Linked DNA regions of Xenopus tropicalis. The protein of the gene in region 6 purifies or fractionates together with the protein of the main gene of each other region. This does not show direct contact. Links are inferred from orthologs where the notes say so. Each region holds a gene or a part of one and is shown on either strand. Other genes may lie near its edges.

Region 1 (4,101 bases), on a different chromosome or scaffold from region 6:
AAACCTTTGCGACTTTGCATGATTTTGGAAGCCTCCCATAGGAATCAATGGCACTCTGCAGCTCCAACCCGGCCCAAGGAAAGTCTCCCATAGGGCTCAATGGCACTCTGCAGCTCCAACCTGGCCCAAGGAAAGTCTCCCATAGGGCTCAATGGCACTCTGCAGCTCCAACCTGGCCCAAGGAAAGCCTCCCATAGGGCTCAATGGCACTCTGCAGCTCCAACTTGGCCCAAGGAAAGTCTCCCATAGGGCTCAATGGCACTCTGCAGCTCCAACCTGGCCCAAGGAACGTCTCCCATAGGGCTCAATGGCACTCTGCAGCTCCAACCCGGCCCAAGGAAAGTCTCCCATAGGGCTCAATGGCACTCTGCAGCTCCAACCTGGCCCAAGGAAAGTCTCCCATAGGGCTCAATGGCACTCTGCAGCTCCAACCTGGCCCAAGGAAAGTCTCCCATAGGGCTCAATGGCACTCTGCAGCTCCAACCCGGCCCAAGGAAAGCCTCCCATAGGGCTCAATGGCACTCTGCGGCTCCAACCTGGCCAAAGGAAAGTCTCCCATAGGGCTCAATGGCACTCTGCAGCTCCAACCTGGCCCAAGGAAAGTCTCCCATAGGGCTCAATGGCACTCTGCAGCTCCAACCTGGCCCAAGGAAAGTCACGATACCAAAGCTTGAATGAATCTGGAACTTTCGTACTCGGCGCAACGGCTACAAAAAAGTCACGACAATTCGCGCAAATCGTAATGGCTACGAAAAAGTTGCGACAATTTACGAAAAAGTTGCAACGGCTACGAAAAAAGTCACGACAATTTACAAAAAAAATCTAAAAATACCGATCATTATGAAAAAAAAACGCATTCGGGCGCCTTCGGAGCGTTCGTGGATTAGTAAATGTGCCCCTATGACTGTCTCTGCCTACACTAGTATCTAGTTCCCGCACTGAAACACAAGGCACAAGACACTCAGAAGACGAGAGCAGAAAGAATACACGCACCAAAGGAAAAGTGGCTCTCCTCTCTGTTTCTTTCCAAGATATAAAGTAAGCAACACAAGCATTAGCAGAGGTACTTACCGTTACAGGATCCAACAAAGGCACATTCAACCACACCTGCGCGTTTTTATTTTGGGTGTGTCTGGCTAAAGATGGCAAGATTCAAACCAGGGGAAAAACCTCTCAGGAACGCCCAATGCGCCCTATAGCAACCAAGCAGCGCTCCAATAGGATGGGGCGGAAAGGCGTCAGGGGAAGCGCTCTGATCACTTCCGGGTGAGAGGCGGCTTCAGCTGCACGTTGGTTCTGACAGGACACGGTAATTGTGTTTATTCGGATGGGTAGCGGCAGGGAATGGTTTGTTATACTGAGTGCTGCTGTGTAATAGGGGAACTCTGTGCGTTTGCTTCATCTCCCGACGTGTAGCGCGGTGTCGCCTTGTGCCCGGCATGTTACACAATGAATAGCGCAGAGTCGCTGGTGTAGCCTGTATTCTGTCTCTAGGGCCGTGTGTGCCTCTTGCATTGGTAATTTGTAGCTTTTGTATCTAAAACTGTGTTCAGTGTATTTACCCATTTGTACAGCACTGCAGGATGTGTATGTATATTTATATATTGCTACCTATGTACACAGCGCTGTACAACAGGTACATAGGGGATAATCCAATCATTATATACAATCATTACATACAAAGTACAATAATATAAATAAATACAAAGTTTAGTTGCTTTAAAGGAGAAGGAAAGGCTAATAAAGAGTTAATCTCAAGCTGCAGGCATACCCTCAGTTGTCTCAATAGTGCCCTTAAGTCTCCCCATATTTCACCTGTTCAGATGATCAGAAGCCAAACAGGAAGAAAAAACTCTGAGCTGTGTAAAGAAAGTTCCCATAATGCCTCGCTCCAGCACAGACACCCAGACCAAGTGAACATGCTCAGTTAGACTATGAGTCCGCTTCCTGCTGATTGGCTCAGATTCACATTCCTAAGGCGGGGAATGAGTTATTAGCATTTTTGAGGGAGGGGGTAGCAGGAGAGAGCAGGAAGCAGAAAGCTGCGTGTCTCTGGCAGAGTAAAACAGACACAGCTAATCTTTTTTCAGAGAATTCAGTGCAGCGTTTCTGTGAGTGCTTATGGCTGTATTTACATAGACCTTTCTGATAAAGCTTACTTCGTTTTTACCTTTCTTTCTCCTTTAAAGATTGCCCAGAGTTATGTGTTAGAGAGAGAAGAGGATGGAGGTACCTGTCCTGTAGAGCTTACAGTCTAAATGGTTGGGAATTAGGTTATATGTTATAGGAGGGCTCAGAGAGGTAGTGTTTGAGTTTAGTTCTCAAGAGACTGACAGTTGTGGATCTTAGATAGCAAGGATCCGGCTAGCAGTTAAAAGATTATTTTAAGGTGGACAACACCTGTAAATCTGCAGATCAAGCATCACAATCTTTGATTCTATATAGTTCCATGTATCTGTTCAGGGTCTGTGGATTGTAAGTGCATCCTGCTCCCTCATAGTTGTACTCACAACCCCTCATGGTTGGGAGTTTAGGGTTGAAATGAAAGTAATGCACTGCTAGGGTTCGGAAAATCCTTTTTCTGTCTCAGGTCAGAATAGTTCTAATTCGTATGTATGTATAACCAGGCCCAGACTGGCAATCTGTGGGTTCTGGCAAATGCCAGAGGGGCCGCTGTAAGATGCCATAGACAGTCACTATTTATTTAGAGCAGTGTCTGTTTGTGCTGCCTTAGGGCTCTGGCACACGGGGAGATTAGTCACCCGCGACAAATCTCCCTTGTCACAGGCAACTAATCTCCCCGAACTACCATCCCACCGGCGAAAATGTTAGCCGCCGGTGGGATGGCACACGCTGAGCAGGTGATTTCGGCAAATGACGGCGTAGTGTTCTACCGACAGTAACCTTTGTGGCCCCAGCTCTCTTCTGGGCTGATTCCTCACCTTTCTTATCATCAGTGATACCCCACGAGGTGAGATCTTGCATGGGCCCCAGTCCTAGGAAAACTGACGTCTTTAGCCTTTTCCATTTTCTAACAATTAATCCAACAGTTGATCTATTTTCACCAAGCTGCTTGGCAATTGCCCCGTAGCCCTTTCCAGCCTTGTGGAGGTCCACAATTTTGTCTCTGGTGTCTTTGGACAGTTCTTTGGTCTTGCCCATGGTAGTAGTTGGAGTCTGACTGACTGTCGGGTGGACAGGTGTCTTTAAAGAGCTCAGACAGGTGCTACTAATTTAATTAATGAGTGGAGTAGAGGTGGACTATTTAAAGGCAGAGTAACAGGTCTTTGAGAGCCAGAATTCTTGCTGATTGCCAGGTGTTCAAATACTTATGTGCAGCAGTGCAATACAAATACATTCTTTAAAAATCATATAATGTGATTTCCTGAATTTTTCTTTAAATGCTGTCTCTTACAGTGGGAATGCACCTATAATGTGAATTTCAGACTCCTCCATGATTTCTAAGTGGGAGAACTTGCAAAATTGCAGGGTGTTAAATACTTATGTTCCTCACTGTATATACAGTTGCAAGAAAAAGTATGTGAACCCTTTGGAATTATATGGATTTATGCACAAATTGGTCATAAAATATAATCTGAGCTGCATCTACGTCACAACAATAGACAAAACTTTTTCTTGCAAAAAGAAATATATATATATATACACACACTCAGAGCCATAAAACAGCCCCAAGTATTCAGATTCTAAATCCAGTCAATTTACTACACCCCAAAATTTCCACTACATGTCAAAAGGACCCCAAAACCAATACGTATAAATACACAGGCAGAACAGTGGCTTCAGACAGGACAGTTCTAGTCACTTTTTCCATTTTTCCAAAAGAACAGTAAAACCAAACAATGAAACTGTTTTAAAGTAATTCAGATATAATGTGTTGCTGCCCTGATCTTCTAAAGGCAAAGACACATGGGGCGATTAGTCGCCGCAACTTTTAAAAAAGTCTTTTCTGCCATAGGTTAAAATAGAAGTTGCTGCAACTAAACACCTGCGAGTTTTCACTACGCAGATTAGTCGCCACAATTTTTTAAAAAGTTGTGCCGAGTAATCACCCGTGTGTCTTTGCCCTAAAAGTTGTGTGTT
Region 2 (2,716 bases), on a different chromosome or scaffold from region 6:
TAAGATGAGCCTCCAGCTGTACCAAGTGGATAGCAGAACTTACCTGCTGGATTTCCGCAGCATTGACGGTATGTGACATTTCTGTGCTACTTTCGGAATAGTAATGCCAAATGTTTGGCTGCTGATGCCTTTTATGGTTTTTATTACCTTCTACCAGCCTGTCACAGAGGCAGTCGCAGCAATAAAACTCTGGGTTCCCATCATTTCCGTCAGTTGTTTATATTAATTACTTAAGGGCCTTTGTCTAAACCCAGAATGGCACTCTACCTCTGAAATTGTACTTCATGCAGTAGCTTATGTATTACCTCACTAACAGTAATGTTTGTTCACGTCAGTGTTAAAGGAGCCTCATGTCCTAGTATTATATTTTACCTTATTTTAAATGATTAGTGCCCCAGAAACATGGTTTTAAACTGTTTTTCTTAAAAATGCTATAATATTAGAGATGAAGTGAGACCTGGGCTTGCCCTTTCCTTCCTTCCCAGGATATGGTCATAACTGTGAGTGACAATCAGAACTTTGCTGCAGCAGCCCGAGTCCTGCCATTGTCTCTCTGCTCCCAGCCCTATCAAACTGTGTCAGAATGCTCCTGCTCACAGTGTTTAGTGGAGCTGCAACTTTCCTCCAAGCTGTAATTAAGATGGCCACACACAGCGCAGATTTTGGCTTCCTATTCAGATCCTTCATTCCTAGTGGCACCTTATCTGCCCATGTATGAGGCACTCTGTCTTGCTTATCCAGCAAAAATTGGGCACATATTCATCAGACGGGTTTAAAAAAATCTTGTTGGGGCGATGACCGTATCTGGTCATTGATGGGTGTCCTTGCCCCAATGGCCTGTATCCCCGACGTTAAACTAGCAGATCAGCCCCAGATCATTCAGTGTGTGGCCTGCTTTACTGTGTCCCAATATCAGCTGTTAGATCTCATTCCAGAACTTTTATTCGGCCATTTTCTGCTGTGTATAACAGCCTCCAACAGTAGTTCCTAGTATACTATTGTGTGGCCTGTCTGCTGCTAGCAGCAACTCCCTTCAACCTTACATTGAGCAAATTGCAATTTATATATTAAGTGGCCTTCAGCAATCACAGAAAACTTACCAGCTCTGAATAGAAGCAGTAGCATCTCCATTATAGGTGGACAGCTACCTTCTCATTATCCTATAGCGCAAATCTGCTCCCCCAGCTGAAACAATCGGGTTAAGGTGAAAGTGCTAAAAGAAAGGCACAATTAAATTTTTTTGCTTTTATTACTATTTAACAAAGCTGGAAGCAGGGAGACATTTAGGAGCAGAGGGACATGGACTACTATTGTAGCATTCTGCTCACCACATTATGATAATGGGAGTCTGAAGGTGAACATACATGGGCAGATTGAAGCTGCTGATTCGACCACTTCAGGCCAGGTTGGCATCTTATCTGCGCATGTATAGGACTCTCCAACAGGCATACCTGACCAGTATATGACCAAAAATCAGCCTGATATGTGGCAGGTGTGAAAATCCTGTAGGGGCCAGTTCATGGTCTCCTCCCACTCTAAAAATATACAGATTAATTGTCACTATATATCCTGCACTCTATAAATAACAGATAATTCTAGTAACAACATACATTTTACACCATAAATTGCTGGAAATAATTAAGCCTATTGTTCTTTTCAGATGAAGTAACTGAGGCCAAGTCGGAAAGCGCCACCCCTAGGCGATCAGGCTCCATTAGCAATTATCGACCTCCAAAAAATGACTCGGATCCTGAAATTCAAGCGAAGTCTTCAGACGGCTCAGGGCCTTCATCTTTAACCTCATCAGTGGACTCTTCCAATGCCGACCTAGTCCCCAGGCCAGGAAGCCATACCATAGAATTTTTTGAAATGTGTGCAAATTTAATAAAAATCCTTGCACGATAGGCCTCCGGCAACATAAGCGAATCCATATCGAGCAATAAGCATGCAGTGATCTGTAGCCAAATGCTTCCAGTCTCAATCCAGTTATGACCGACCAACAGCTGAAAGCTCTTGTCACAATGCAATTTGCACATACGATTCCAAGACTATGTTAGACCTCAATCCGTAGTGTGATCATTATTTTTAATAGTTCCTTGTCAACGCATATAAATTGTATATATTTTTCAGGTTGACAAAAGTTTTAATTGCACATTTTATCGAGCACTGGGCTACTTTGCATATTCCCAAGATAAACCTCAACATCTTGTCTTAAATTTGTTATTTTTTTTCTTGTCTTGTGAAATACATAGAAGTGATCACATGATAATTTAGTGGTTTAAGCATGCCGGCCATAATTCTGCAGCTTAAACTCCACTGGGATAGATCAGTCTGGTGAATAAGGGCAGTAAATGTGGATATCAAAAGGCAATTTGTACAAATATATAATAAAAAAAGGATTTTTTTTTTTTTTTTTTTAAGGATAAGGACTCATGTATGTACTTTATGGCTAGCTATTATTTACATGTAACTTTCACTAATATATGGGGACGTTAGAACAATCCATTGGCTGTTTATTGTTCCTAAGCTGTTTAGCTTCCTTTGCAACCTCAAAGCTAGAGGTCCAAGCCCTCGATGCTCTCCCATGGCTGATTTACAAATGACATAGCGCTTGGAATGTAATCTATATTACAAATTGGGATAATTGTCCCATTGCATAGAAAGTGGTCGGATCAGACTGGCCTACCAGTGGAGCTAGACCAGGGGTGGGCAAACT
Region 3 (3,500 bases), on a different chromosome or scaffold from region 6:
GCCCTAAAACTACTGTCGCAAACAGTCATTATTGTTGCTAATTAAACTTCACAATTTACAAATAATGTACCAATGTTCTAGTTTACAGTAGAACTTTAGAAGATGTCTTTCTCTGTTACCCTCATGTCCTTTCTCTGTTACCCTCATGTCCTTGTCAAGTGGAGGTAACTTCAGCATCTGTACAGCTTGACATGGTCACATGAAGATAATGGACTTACATGACTGTCATCTATTTATGAATATCAGGCTGGGTTGTGTCATGTAATTTGTATGTTAAAGGATAATGTTCAGGAGATGGCTCTATGTCTCAATCGGCTGTCCACAGGTTGCAATTTCCTTGGTTAAAGAGGAACTGTCAGAGCATTAAAATGCTTTCAACCTATTGGTTGAAGCCAGTGGCTAGTGTTGTGGATACTACAAAAAGATATGAAATATAAGTAGGCCAGAGATCATATAATAAAATACATGAAGCATATGAATCCATATGAATAATAAGGTACACTGTCAGTGACGGCAACAACTCGTAGAATACAGGTCTCTTAAAATCCAGGTTACAACAGGAATATATGAAAAGGTAAAATAGCTAAAAAGGCCCAAATATGTTGAAATCACATTCAAGCATGGGATCACTGTAATACTGACATGCCCAAACATTATGTAGTAAAATATGTAGATATTGTCCTGTGGAACAACAGGAAAACACATGATGTTTCATTACCGATGTCTAAAGTAATTAAACATATTTTTTCCTTTTCTTGAACTGTTATATGGTTTATTTTTATCCCTCAGCCTAACATTTTATTTCTACCAAAGCAGTCAGTTTGGAATTTGGGCATTCCACATTGCTTACTACTGAATTCAATTTGCAGAACCAGGGACATGCTTTTCCAGGCCAACAGTATCTTGGTACAGCCAATGGAACCTGACTTTGTGATTGTCCCATTTGTTTAATAAAGATGGCCTCCATACATGAATTTTCAAGTGCCCTTTGTATCATTTGTTATAAAATGCAACAACCACCTGTCCTTAACTGGGCTGGAACCCAAGTTTCCAAAGGATTCCAAAAGACCTCTTGGCTCTGCTGATGAGAGTAATGCACAAAATTGATCAGCTCATCCTTACCTGGTGTCTCTATGTTTCTTACTATATAAAATGATAATTTTAGTTTCCTACTGTTTTTTTAAATCTGGTTACATTATCCCACATTATATTTGCTTATTATATTCCCTGCACCTACCCACTTGGCTTTTTAAAACCTCTTGATATTTCACAACTGAATGTGCATTATAGCCTACACAAGGAACATTGTGATTGTGTTTTTGTACTGAGGGAGTTATCTTCCCGGGACTACACCTATTAGGCAATGGGCAGCTTAAGGCTGCCATACACGGGCTGATTCTAGCTGCCGATATCAGCCGATATCAGCCCCATAGATTCGTCAGCTTATTTGCCCGTGTAGGGGCACTAACGTTGGGCCTGCCCGAACGATATCTGGCCTGAAATGGGCCAGATATCGATCGGCCAGTTTGAAAAATTTAGTCAGATCAGGGACTGCATTGGCTCGTTGATGCAGCCCCCAAACTGACTGTGCCTATTACTGTCGTTCTAATTCAATCGTTTGGCCCCAAGGCCAAACGATCAAATTTGGCTGAATTTGCCCGATATCGCCCACCCGTAGGTAGAAGATATCGGGAGAAGATCCATTCGCTTGGCAACATTTAGTCCTATATGCACCAAAGAAAGGACTTTAGCTGCCTTTCCTTAGAGAGGGGTCAGTCAGGTGAGGTACATAATGCACACAAGGTGGACTAACAGAGGGATGAAGCAGCATATGAAGTACATGCCGATTTGATAGTATATGTAAGGCAGGAAGAGGAACATGAGTGTGTGAATTATGGCAGAACTGACAAAGCAAGCAAGCAAATAAGCAGTGGCTAGGGCTATAGCACATGAGGCATTTGATCACTATTAGGTGTATTGCTTCATACTGACTAGAATAGGAAGTGCAGAGAGTAAAACATTGGACTTATGATTCAGTACGTTCCATAGCAGAACAGAATCATCGGTAAGGCATTTGAAAAAAGGCAATAAGCTAATGGAGTCATTTTGAAGTATGGCACACCATTATTTAGTATAATTTTAGATTTTAGAGGCATTCTGTTTTAAAATAAATGCTGAGCTGAGGCACTACTGTTGCTATTGTGAAGTCTCAAACGATTATGGTTTTAATCAAGCTACTAATTGGGCTGGAGCCCAAGTTCCCAAAGGATGCCACAGAGGACCTCTGGTCCAGAGAACTCTCCACTCCTCCTTCTTTTTATCCTTGGCTGTCAATGGGAGTAAAACACAGAATTCATCAGCTCATCCTCACCTGGTTACTTACTATGCAAACTGATAAGTTCAATTTCCAGTCAACCCCAATCCCATAATCACCCCCTATACCCACTATTTTAATTGGTTTACATTATCCCACAATGTCTTTCCTATCTGTAATGTTCTTCACATTCCCTGTGCCTGACCTCTTGGCTTTTTAAACCATGAACTGGAAAATCAATGATTAGGGCTATGGTACATAAGGCATATGATCAGCACCACTAGTGGATTGCTTCATACTGACTAGCATGGGAAGCGCTAAGAGTAGACCACTGATCGCCTTTTATCATTTGTGCTTGAGGGTGTTATGTAGTAGAACAGACTCACAGGCATTAGGAAAGGCAAATAGCTAATCATCATTATTTAGTAATAATTTAGACTTTTGGAGGCATTCTGTTTCAAAACAGAGCTGAGGCACTACTGTTGTTATTATGATGTCTCATACTATTACGGTATGTTTTTTTTCTTTTATAATTTAAACCAACAGGCATCATTAGAACCTTTTTAGTTTTACATCTTGGCTTCTTTGACTGAAGAGCGAGTAATTATATAGATTGCTGTATGGAGAGAAATGTATTTGAAAGCTCCATCCCTGCTCTATAAGGATCATTACTTTCAGAATTCATTATGAGCTTGTAGAATTATATATTACAGGTTTCTCTATTCAGTGCTTATTAATAGGGAACAGCAGAAGCACATTTAGCTCTTAAGTATCTCAGGCCTCAGTCAGAGAAAGGTGTGTCAGACAAAGCACAGCTCTCGCAAAACGTGCATTAGAAACAATGGCTGCTAATGGCTCTTGTGATGGCATTAAGTGAACCCAACCCTTGATTATATTGCAAATGTAAGAATAGCAACAAGCAGAATGAATGATTTGTGGCTAATCTCATTCTGTCCTTATTGCTGTTGTGCTTACTGTTTGTACTGCCGTCTGTTCTTTTGTATAACAAATGTTGATGTGTGGTTTACAAGAAATATTGTCTCTGTGCAGCTGAATTGCCACCTCCATATACAGCCATTGCCAGCCCAGATGCCAGCGGAGTTCCTGTGATAAACTGTCGCGTGTGCCAGTCTCTTATTAATTTGGACGGCAAACTTCATCAGCATGTGGTGAAATGCACAGTCTG
Region 4 (4,088 bases), on a different chromosome or scaffold from region 6:
GACAGTGGTGTCTTTGCAATGCATACAAACAAAAAACATAATCCCAGGATGCCAGAAATAGAGCACAGTGCATTTCACAGGTTGTGCATCCTTGGGAGAAGCTATGTTCTTAGGTAACTATACAGTATATTGTGTAATGTGCACCAGCATCCATGAATTTATATATGATGCTTTGTGCTTGTGTGGAATGGGGGACTAAGTGCCTGCATAATTGTTGATTCAAAAATGGATTTATTACTAAGTTTGTTTTCTTTGCAAGAGCTTCTATAATCTTGCCAGTTAAGCATTCCCAACAATATGGATAATTTTCAGTATTTATTTCAGTATCAGCATATGCTACTGCACTACTGATTTCTATTTTCTGCACTTTATAGCAATAGCTAGAATTTAAACTATGCATACAAACTATATACAAAGTAAGCGCAATATGGAAATGAAAGTGCATGATATATTTCTTACATCTAATTAAAGCCTTAAGTACACGGATCTGCTGCAACTTGTGCCTGCCACATCTCCCTAACTTTCGTATCTGAATGATGTGCAAGTTAGGGGGCAGCAGAGAGGATGCTTTCATGCCTCTCGTGCCCATCCCTCATGAAAACACTGTTGCAGAACACAGACAGACCTCTATTCATAGGGGGAATGCAAGTCTTTGCACTCCATTCTGGAGAGCCAACACCTGCATCAAGGCAGTGTGCAAAAGATATAAAAAAATGTTGGTTTAACATCTTGAGTTTTGCAACATGCATCCTGTGCTATACTTTGTAAATAAGCCCCATTGTGTTGTTAAACTCTTCTAAATTTTGTTAACATGCTTTTAAATCCTCACCTTGAAGAAGGAAATGTTTAATCACTGGGTGGGTGCCCCCCTGTGATTGTAATCACCCATCATTGTAATCACTTACCTGATACCCCAGGCCAGTACTCCTGGTACAGAACAGCTTCTCACGCAAACCACTGCCTGGTTGCTAGGGAAAATCATACCCTAGCAACCAGATAGCTGCTGAAATACCAGTTTGGAGAGCTAAATAAAAGCTAAATAACGGAAAATGAAGACAAATTGCATATTGTCTCAGAATGTCACTGTCTACAAAATACTAAAAGATTAACTACCCCTTTAACAAAAAAGCTGTCTTTTTTGAAGAAAAAAAGAAGAAAAAAGGGGATCGCTTGCTTGCATGTACGCCTGGCCAGTTCAGTTTTCTGATAACAGGAGCACTGGTCTGGGGTATCAGGTAAAGGATTACAATCACTGGGGGTGCATAATATTTGGCTCCCCCCAGTGACTGAACCTTTACTTCTTCTTTAAGGGTTCTACTGGTCCTTCCAATACACTGTTATGTGCATGGTCATTTGCAACAGGTATATAGCATCTTGTTTTGATCTTTGATGTTTCCCCTGTGGTTTTTGACACAAATGGCCATATTTAGCTTAATGAGAAACTTATTGCCTACCGCAAGGGTTCTAGTCTGGACAAGATAAAGCATTAAATATGTTTTTACCATGAAACTGAATCAGGCCAAATTTCTGAAAGGTCTTCTTATTTGACTGAAATCACTTGAAAGTACTACATTTCCAATGCCTTAAAAATCAGGTTCCAAAGAAAGAAAGTGTTGTGGGTGCTCCTGTCCTCCAGTTGTAAGGTAACTTGGCACTAAAATATTCCTTAAAGATTGATGGGTTTTAATAGATTACAACAGATTTCCTCTTACCACTTTGCAATGTCTTAATCATTTTTAATGTGCAGATTTTTTTTAATGACCTGCTTGACTTAAATGCAGGATTGCTATATGGTTCAAATAAAATGCTACAACTTTCCTAGTGAATAGAAATCTACTGGAAATCCATGTGACTGCTATTGTATTAACAATTGCGCAGCTACTACATGGCAATAGGTAAGTAAGTATAACAGTGGCCTGTACATGTCCTAAAGAGATGCCTTTACAACTTTTTTTTTAAAAACACTGGCAAATAAATTGGCAGTGAAAAAGAGATTTGTCGGGTTTTCACCCTGTCTATACTGACAAGTAACAATTCCTTGATGCTGGGTTCAACAAGAACAGTTTGCACATAAGCTGAAAAGCAGCCAATCAGCCTCTTATTAAAAATTGAAAAATAGTTCCTTCCCAATCCATGAGAATGTATTTTCCACTGGCACACTGCCATCCAGCAGCACAGTTACTAAATCCCTAGCACCAGCACAGCTTCTGGAAGTGTACAGCAACTCACACACACACACAATGGCTGACTCGGGCAGTCACACATATCTGACATTTTACTACAATTCCTGTTTGCACTGCTTATTGTTTATAATACAGTACATAAATAAAGACACTGCCACTGCCCTTTCTCCTGCCCTCAATGTCACCTTAACTCCCACAGTAGGGCTTTAGAGGTTAAACTAACCCCTGCAGCATCCCTTGGGAAGCACCCAGCAAGAATAAAAAAAAACTGCAGGAATAACAGATCATTAAGCAAAGATGCTGCCCATGTTAACTGTGTAATGTTACACTGCACTCTGTGTAGGCTTCACCCTCTGTACCTTACACTCATAAAAAGTGCTTGCATGATCCATGCACTTCAATCAGTTCATCTCCCTGCACCTTCTACTCAAGGAGCATCATGTTCTGCTTTCAAACAGGTTCTGATGATGCTGAAAGTATATCTATACATAGCAAAGCTCTGGAGAATATACTCAGCTTTTCACTTTTCCGAAGGTGCCAACTCCTAGCGTGTCACCCAAGATGTAGTGTCCTATTTTAACCCGTCCATCGTGCTTCTGCTTCTCAGCCATCTTTGCATTCTGTTCGTCTGTGTACCCACAATGCAGCTGGCACAGGCAATGACAGGTGCGTGCCAAAGGCTGGATCCTGACAGAGCCCGTTGCAGGGACAGCCCAGTGGGCGTGGCTTCATGCCGTGCAAGAGCAGGCAGCCCTGCAAGGTCCTAAATCGCAGGAGCAATGACCAGTTGCTGCCCAGGGTACTGAAACACACGTCGCTTGGATTCGAATTTAAATTCGCTTTTCTATTTTTTTTGCAGTCCAAATGAGCTAACTATAACATATCATGTTCAATTCGTTTGGGTTTATTTATGAAAGGCTAGGCACAAGGGAAGGAGCCCTATGGTCCTCACAAACAAAATACAGTGAGAGGCAATTTGGCAATCCATTCTGGCATAGGAAGGAGGAGCACATCTGGAGAACAAGTAAATATTACATGTGGGCTAGGTGGAAAGTTAAAAGTCACAAAAATGTTTGAAGCAAAAAAGCGTGAGAAAAATGTTGCAAGAAAAGAAGATATTTTGTGTGAAAAGAAAAAAAAAAAGCAGCAAAAAATAGCCATTGACTTCAAAGTATTTTGTGCAGAAAAAAAGCAGTGGTAAAACAACCCTTTGCCTTTAAATTGAAAATTTTTCCATGGTTTAATAAATATTTCACCAAGGCAAAGAGAGACAGATCACTACCCATGTGCAGTTTGGCACCTGAACTCTGTGCCCTGCTGGCGGAATCCAGAAAGCAAGTCTTGTATTAAATGAGTCCTGTAAAATCAGGCCCAGATTTAGTGGGCATCCTTAGGCCCCTGTCACTGCTTGGCACATCTGCCACCCTTCCCATTGTGCATGCATACGCAAATTTCCCTTGTTGGGAACAGAGCACTGGGGAGCTTGATTGGCGAGCAGAGATTTAAATCAAATCTCCTGCACATCCGTAGTGCTTCGGAACCAATATAGATGCGGCTTGGTTGCATGCTGCCCCTAAAATCCTGCAGCCTTAAGCTGGCCATACACGTGGCGATCTGACCGATGGTCGCACGAAACATCGTCAGATCCGCCACACACCATTCAGGGCTGAATCGGCAGGTAAGGAGGTAGAAACAATAGGATTTCTACCTCCTTCTGCCGATTCAGCGCTGAAGGGAGATTTTGGTCAGGCACCTTCTATGGCGCCCGATCAAAATTTTCAAACTGGTCCGATCGGCGAGTCGGCCGATATCAGCAGCTTCCTGCGATATCGGTCGACTCGGCCAAAATACCATACACGCACCGAATTACGATATTATTGGTGCGTGTATGGCCACCTTTAGACC
Region 5 (4,077 bases), on a different chromosome or scaffold from region 6:
TTGCCCTGGTTTCAGATCTGTCATGTAATGTAAATGAATTACTAATCAGCCTTTCACTGTTACATTTATATTCTGTATATACAGTATATTGTGAGTGGGTCCCTAAGCTCAAGTAAGTGACTGCAACACAGAGCATGTGCAGGGAATCAGCAGAAAAGAAGATGGGGGGGGGGCTACTGGAGGGCATCTTTGGGGGCACAGATCTTCCCTGCAAAAGGGCTGTTTGTGCCTTGGGCTGGTACAGAAACCCATAACATAATTCACAAAATTTCAGCCCTACTTCTTTGTTAAAAAGTGTGCACAAAAGAAATTATTTGTGTACCCTGCCAAGAAGAAATTGGTTTAAGGGCACTGCTGTATGGGGCAGATTCTGCAGTTAACTTGCAGGCCGAGAATCTGCTGTGTGGCAGTGCCCTAAAAATCCCACTGGCATGTTGATGAGGCCTACATGGGTGCCAATTATGTTTATGGCCCTAGGGAAAAAGTGGCTGTTTAGTTCAAAACTAGACAGGTGTCAACCCCCAAGTGCACTGACAAGTGATTCCTGTGTTAGTCCATTCAGTGGTCATCTTTAGTGTTTTACCAGCTGCTAGGGCTGTCCAGTGCAGCCGTAAGCACCAGACTTCTGACCTCGCCCCCCTCGTATACAGCTACACTTTTTTTCTTTTTAATATAGGCACCCCTAGCGCTGCCCTACATAAATATGGCCCATGCACCCATGAGCTAAATCATGCACAGGGGATCTTGTCTGAGCAAGATCACCTTCAGGCTGGGCTTTTAGAACTATCTCCCAAAATAAGAAATATTTCTTTAACGTTGCCCCATTTTCAGCCATGATTTCAATTTATGGCGTTTGTAACTGCTTACAAAATACAGTCTAATTCAAGATTCCAGAAACATATGGGATAAACAGTCTAGAAACTCATAACAATCCTATTGGGTGCGAATCGAATTACAACCCTTCCCCATATATTTCTACATATAACTCCCCAGCCACTGTGTCACTGCCGGTTTAACACGTTGTGTGTAAATCACGCACACATATTTGTTTATATGTTACATCACACGTTACACCCTTGGTTCACTCTACACAAAACATAACTTCTGTGGCAAAACAAACTACTAGCAACCATGGCTCAAATATCTTTAAACAGTAAGAGCTCTCGCTGCTAAGCCACAACTCAACCAATCCTCCAGCAACTATACGCTGGGCGTTTCCCAAGAACGCCCACCAATGCGCCCAGCTTCACCTTAGCAGCTGCCAATTGGAATTGCCAGTAAAGCACCAAGAGCCAATCACAAGGCTGCTTGCGATGACGGCGGTATAGCGTATGGTTTCCTCGCCGCCGCGTTGCGCATGTGCCCGGCTTTAATATGGCTACCCCTGTGGATCTAGAGCTGAAGAAGGTAATAATAATTGTATTTCATTTATACTAATGATTTTTATCATGTACGTGTTTTCATGTAAGTGTATGTTTATATAAGAATTCAGATGCTGGTGAATTCACGGTGCCTGCAGGATGAATGTGCTTTTGGCTGGAGTGCGGCCAGGCAGCTAGTGCATACGCTCGGTGGAATGCGAATGTAGTCGTTTTTGTATTTCTAGTAGGGAACTGTATTTGTAGTAAAGAATTTTGATATCATTTGATTTGTGTGTGTGTATATATATATATATATATATATATATATATATATATATATATATATATATATATATATATATACATATATATACATATACATATACATATACATACACACACATACATACATACATACATACTCACACTCTATAAACCCATAGTTCTATAAACGAACACTTGTTTTTTTCCAAATACATAAAGAAGGGAAATTTAATAAAGTATATTTACTATTAATGTAAGATTCATCCTTTTGGAAGGCACTATCTCCCAGTGCATTGTTTATTTGCAATTAAAACAGTCTTTAGAACGCAAAAACATTGCTGTTAAATCTTTGCTTACACCTAAAATTTGGGGGCTTAAGTGTTTAGTAAGATTGGAGATAAATATCACTGGTGATGTTGCCCATAGCAACCAATCAGATATTTGATTTTCATTTCTAACTTGTAGGTGACTGTTCAAATCTAATTCCTGATTGGTTGCTATGGGCAACATAGCCAGTGATATTTATCTCCAATCTTACTAAACATGCCCCTGTGTCCTACATCTGTGGTTTGCTTGACAGACTTTTTCAGTTCAAGCCCACCTTGGAGCCCAGTTAGTTCATAACAAGGTGTATGGAAATGTTGTATCAGCTATTCAGGAAGGGCTCCCGGAATACCCATTTTCACACCAAATTTCTCTCTAACTGAGCTTCTCGCTGGGTTTTTAGAAAAATAGGCCCTCAAGTGGGCCATACAGGGGCCCATTCAGACCAAGTTGACAACATATCAGCCTGTTTATGAGTAATGTGAGACTGCTTGACTGACATTTGCAAAGGATGCACTTTTACAAGCAGAGTAGTTTAAAAACTGGATAGTTTCTAAAATATTAAAAATATTACCTGCTTACACAATCTTGGGTGAAACTCAGATGTAGAGATTGGCAGTGGCTAGAAAGCATTAGCGAGGACAGCACTTAGATACAAATTGTTTAAAACCATGTTTTGTATTGCAGGCTTTCACAGAGCTTCAAGCCAAAGTTATTGATACCCAGCAGAAAGTTAAACTTGCAGATCTACAAATTGAGCAGCTAAATAGAACAAAGAAGCATGCATATCTTACCAATGCAGAAATTATGAACCTGTCTGATTCAACGCCTATGTATGAAGGAGTAGGAAGAATGTAAGTAATGCTGTTTTGCTTTAATCATACAGTCATGCATTAACTTGTCTTTTTAAGTGTAAATTGTAAAGAAAAGTAGACCTTCGGCCCACTCTCCCCTTCTCTGTTCACTCAATTTCTTTAATCTCTTAATTACGCAGTTTTACATAATATTATCTATCCTTTCCTCCATTTCTTCAGTTTCTTTTCATATAGGATTGAGTAATGGCCATGGTATACGCATACAAGGCAAATGGTTGGGTGAGCAGGAGGGCCCACTGACACTTGGGCCACCGGGAGTTTTCCTTGTATCCTGGTGGGCCAGTCAGACACTGCACAGACCTACCGATCCCTTCGAGGGCCAAAAGACAGAAAAAATACAAGGGACCATATACTCTATGGATGCCTTTCTGTTGTTCCTTGTATTCATAGGGAATGAAGGGAACAGTTCCTCATCTTCCATACACAGGCTGTAATGGGTTCTTAGCAGGTTACATATTTATACCCACCCAAATGACAAACCAATCAAAGTACATGGATATAGGCTGCCACGCACATACTGAAAATCGTTAACTGTGTTCCTATGTAATCCCCATTTGACTGTGCCAATGACTGTATTTATAGACTGGCTATTGTTAAAAACCAAGAACTTTTTGGTTTTCTTACATAACCATTGCTGTGGAGAATAGAAAGTACTTATTCATAGGCGAATGATTCAATATTAACACATTTCTAAAGGTGGAAAGCATTAAAGGCCAAAAAAAATGCATTAGTATTTCAGATGCTTTAAATGTTCCGTATGCCTTTAGAACAGAAAGTCTACATTTAGGAGGGCGTTATAGTCACTAGTATAAGTGGAACTTTATAGTTTAGGTAATCCATTGATCTCAGGGAACATGCTTATCTGCAGCTGGGAAGTCCATATATATTAAAATTTAGTTGAATGCGCTTGAATGCACTTGTGCAATAGCCCTCTACAGAGGGTTCTGAACAGCAACTTCATTGGAATAGGCCATACATAGGCAGATTTAAGTCAAGCACCAGCCTAGGGCACAGAACTCTTTTGTTTGTCTGTTTCCCCTTACTTCGGGCCCCAGTTGACTGGGAGAACTGCCAGAAGTCAGAGAGAGCAGCCGCTATTTTGCACTCGCTCGGGGGGGGAGTGGGTGCAGTATAGCCGTCGCTTACTCTTCCAGTCAGTGTGCGCTCGTTACAGGAGGGGTGGGCACGGAGCAGTGCGAGCTGGGGGGGGGGGGGGGCAAAGTTCTAAATTCGCCTGTCATTGATTTAAGCTC
Region 6 (2,925 bases):
CCTGGGTATGTACCACTTTCCAAGGGGGGTTCCCAATGTGGCCAAGTAGACTTGGTTGTTTGGCTGATGTAGGGGCCCAAGGACAGAAACAGGGATCCACACAAGTGTAGGGGTTAACATAAGGGGTCTCTGAGTTGTGGGGTTCACACTGCCAAGTACAAAGGAAGGGGGTGTTCATCAGAGCCAAGTCAGACACACGGCAGAGAGTGCAGAGAGGAGCAGTGCAGACAGTCTCCAGCACCCACGTTGCTCCTGACTGCCGCCAATGGGGAGCCTACCTGTGCCTCTGAGAGGAAGAGGAGGTTCAGGGTGAAGGTAGAAAAGAGCCTTCCCAGGGTTAGGAATTAAGGGCATCAATACCTGCGGGAGTGAGCACCAGTGCCTGCAGAATGTCAGAGAGAGACACAATACCCCGAGGCCGATGGTCTTCATCCACCAGAACCAGGCGATGAATCTGGGATTGGGAGGAAGAGGAATGACAGGAGATCCCATAGGATTGTTTGAGAGAAACTTAGAACATTCTGGGTTTTGTTTCCATAACCATGTGTCTTTATTATTATTATTATGGAGCTCCTCCCTCTGCAGGCTGGGGGAGGTACTACAGCTTGAAGAGCACCCAGAGCCCACCTTTGGTATAATGGTACTTACCTGTTCTCGGACAATTCGATCAATGACCACCTCCAGACTTTCATGGGGGTAACACATGAGGACCCCCTCAATACTCAGAGAACGCAAGCGCAGGGCATCTCGTACGCTGATATCCAGGTTGTTATAGATCTTCTGTGCCGCAAGGTGCTGAAAGGGAAGGGACAAATGTACCCAGATGTGGCACCCAGGGCAGGGTGCTGTCTATAAGCTAAGGCTACAGGGAAAGCTCAGCCTCTCTGGGGGGCAAGGTTATGGCTCTGCATGCATTATGGGAAGGGAAGGATACTCACTATTACATCAAAGCGGGAATAGAGTCCGACCACCTGCCCTGCAAAACAAGCACATAAAGGTTATACTGAGGGGAATGGAACACTGTGGGGCAAGGAGAAAAAATATGGACTGTTTGGCCCTGGTGTTGTGCATAGTACTGCTTGTTGGCCTAGGCATTGGCCATAGTAATGTGGGGACAAGCTGGCCTGGGCATTGGCCATAGTAATGTGGGGATAAGCTGGCCTAGGCATTGGCCATAGTAATGTGGGGACATGCTGGCCTAGGCATTGGCCATAGTAATGTGGGGATAAGCTGGCCTAGGCATTGGCCATAGTAATGTGGGGACATACTGACCTGGGCATTGGCCATAGTAATGTGGGGACATGCTGGCCTAGGCATTGGCCATAGTAATGTGGGGATAAGCTGGCCTAGGCATTGGCCATAGTAATGTGGGGACATGCTGGCCTAGGCATTGGCCATAGTAATGTGGGGACATGCTGGCCTAGGCATTGGCCATAGTAATGTGGGGACATACTGACCTGGGCATTGGCCATAGTAATGTGGGGACATGCTGGCCTAGGCATTGGCCATAGTAATGTGAGGATAAGCTGGCCTGGGCATTGGCCATAGTAATGTGGGGACATACTGACCTGGGCATTGGCCATAGTAATGTGGGGACATGCTGGCCTAGGCATTGGCCATAGTAATGTGGGGATAAGCTGGCCTAGGCATTGGCCATAGTAATGTGGGGATAAGCTGGCCTGGGCATTGGCCATAGTAATGTGGGGACATACTGACCTGGGCATTGGCCATAGTAATGTGGGGATAAGCTGGCCTAGGCATTGGCCATAGTAATGTGGGGATAAGCTGGCCTGGGCATTGGCCATAGTAATGTGGGGATAAGCTGGCCTGGGCATTGGCCATAGTAATGTGGGGATAAGCTGGCCTGGGCATTGGCCATAGTAATGTGGGGATAAGCTGGCCTAGGCATTGGCCATAGTAATGTGGGGATAAGCTGGCCTGGGCATTGGCCATAGTAATGTGGGGAAAAGCTGGCCTGGGCATTGGCCATAGTAATGTGGGGACATGCTGGCCTAGCCATTGGCCATAGTAATGTGGGGATAAGCTGGCCTAGGCATTGGCCATAGTAATGTGGGGATAAGCTGGCCTGGGCATTGGCCATAGTAATGTGGGGACATACTGACCTGGGCATTGGCCATAGTAATGTGGGGACATGCTGACCTGGGCATTGGCCATAGTAATGTGGGGACAAGCTGGCCTGGGCATTGGCCATAGTAATGTGGGGATAAGCTGGCCTGGGCATTGGCCATAGTAATGTGGGGACAAGCTGGCCTGGGACAGGTAGATAGTAAAGCAGGAACAGCCTGGCCTGGGGTTTTGCATAGTTCTGCAGGGACAATATAGTCTGGGGGAGTCACTGCACTCACCAGATTCATTCACCACGGGGAGGGCAGAAACTCTCCTCTCTACAAAGATTTCCAGTGCGTTGTAGACAGAGGAGGAGTCCTGCACGACTGCCACATCCCTAAAGGTGCCGATGCCCAACTCCAGGATGGTCTTCTGCAAGAACCGTGGCCTTGGGAGAGTGTCTCCCTGCAAAGTGCATTGTGGGACATGAACAGTGTGAGCATTTGTACTGTATATACCCACTACTTACTAACTGTATGTACTACAGGCACAGGTACTACAGGCACAGGTACTACAGGCGCCCGACTTACAAACAGGTGGAGGAACTTGAGGAGACGTTTGTGCGTAAGGATATGCAGGATGTTTCCGGATATGGGATCCATTACTGGCAGCCGGTGGATCTTATTCTTGATAAGTGAATATACAGCGTGGAAAAGGCTGAGAGAGAGTCAATAAGATGATTAATGGCGTCTTATCTGCAACTTGGAGTGATATCCCCCCCCCCTCACCCCCAGCAGCCGATCAGCAGAACAATGGGAAGGGAGCAAGATAGCAGCTCCCAGTAGGTATCAGAATAGC

Evidence for each region.
Region 1: the proteins of prkag3 (region 6) and pfdn6 purify together in Homo sapiens (affinity purification with mass spectrometry; 3 studies listed by BioGRID and IntAct, with this or other methods). This does not show direct contact. The link is inferred for Xenopus tropicalis from reciprocal best matches to the Homo sapiens genes PRKAG3 and PFDN6.
Region 2: the proteins of prkag3 (region 6) and prkaa1 purify together in Homo sapiens (affinity purification with mass spectrometry; 3 studies listed by BioGRID and IntAct, counting the BioPlex papers as one, with this or other methods). This does not show direct contact. The link is inferred for Xenopus tropicalis from reciprocal best matches to the Homo sapiens genes PRKAG3 and PRKAA1.
Region 3: the proteins of prkag3 (region 6) and pip4p2 purify together in Homo sapiens (affinity purification with mass spectrometry; 3 studies listed by BioGRID and IntAct, with this or other methods). This does not show direct contact. The link is inferred for Xenopus tropicalis from reciprocal best matches to the Homo sapiens genes PRKAG3 and PIP4P2.
Region 4: the proteins of prkag3 (region 6) and prkaa2 purify together in Homo sapiens (affinity purification with mass spectrometry; 3 studies listed by BioGRID and IntAct, counting the BioPlex papers as one, with this or other methods). This does not show direct contact. The link is inferred for Xenopus tropicalis from reciprocal best matches to the Homo sapiens genes PRKAG3 and PRKAA2.
Region 5: the proteins of prkag3 (region 6) and pfdn1 purify together in Homo sapiens (affinity purification with mass spectrometry; 3 studies listed by BioGRID and IntAct, counting the BioPlex papers as one, with this or other methods). This does not show direct contact. The link is inferred for Xenopus tropicalis from reciprocal best matches to the Homo sapiens genes PRKAG3 and PFDN1.

Annotation. Positions count from the first base shown.
Region 1 is NC_030684.2:72,102,784-72,106,884, forward strand, and holds the start of pfdn6 (prefoldin subunit 6), read left to right. Parts: upstream 1-1,301; 5' UTR 1,302-1,309; intron 1,310-1,340; exon of another isoform or gene 1,341-1,517; intron 1,518-4,101. UniProt on the Homo sapiens protein: Binds specifically to cytosolic chaperonin (c-CPN) and transfers target proteins to it. Binds to nascent polypeptide chain and promotes folding in an environment in which there are many competing pathways for nonnative proteins.
Region 2 is NC_030677.2:195,924,061-195,926,776, forward strand, and holds the end of prkaa1 (5'-AMP-activated protein kinase catalytic subunit alpha-1), read left to right. Parts: coding exon 1-68; intron 69-1,660; coding exon 1,661-1,905; 3' UTR 1,906-2,216; downstream 2,217-2,716. UniProt on the Homo sapiens protein: Catalytic subunit of AMP-activated protein kinase (AMPK), an energy sensor protein kinase that plays a key role in regulating cellular energy metabolism.
Region 3 is NC_030682.2:126,740,926-126,744,425, reverse strand, and holds part of pip4p2 (type 2 phosphatidylinositol 4,5-bisphosphate 4-phosphatase), read left to right. Parts: intron 1-3,364; coding exon 3,365-3,500. UniProt on the Homo sapiens protein: Catalyzes the hydrolysis of phosphatidylinositol-4,5-bisphosphate (PtdIns-4,5-P2) to phosphatidylinositol-4-phosphate (PtdIns-4-P).
Region 4 is NC_030680.2:87,584,478-87,588,565, forward strand, and holds the start of prkaa2 (5'-AMP-activated protein kinase catalytic subunit alpha-2), read right to left. Parts: upstream 2,801-4,088; 5' UTR 2,795-2,800; coding exon 2,701-2,794; intron 1-2,700. UniProt on the Homo sapiens protein: Catalytic subunit of AMP-activated protein kinase (AMPK), an energy sensor protein kinase that plays a key role in regulating cellular energy metabolism.
Region 5 is NC_030679.2:31,788,222-31,792,298, forward strand, and holds the start of pfdn1 (prefoldin subunit 1), read left to right. Parts: upstream 1-1,277; 5' UTR 1,278-1,374; coding exon 1,375-1,407; intron 1,408-2,636; coding exon 2,637-2,803; intron 2,804-4,077. UniProt on the Homo sapiens protein: Binds specifically to cytosolic chaperonin (c-CPN) and transfers target proteins to it. Binds to nascent polypeptide chain and promotes folding in an environment in which there are many competing pathways for nonnative proteins.
Region 6 is NC_030685.2:83,071,880-83,074,804, forward strand, and holds part of prkag3 (5'-AMP-activated protein kinase subunit gamma-3), read right to left. Parts: intron 2,785-2,925; coding exon 2,658-2,784; intron 2,533-2,657; coding exon 2,367-2,532; intron 977-2,366; coding exon 939-976; intron 796-938; coding exon 649-795; intron 455-648; coding exon 361-454; exon of another isoform or gene 279-360; intron 1-278. UniProt on the Homo sapiens protein: AMP/ATP-binding subunit of AMP-activated protein kinase (AMPK), an energy sensor protein kinase that plays a key role in regulating cellular energy metabolism.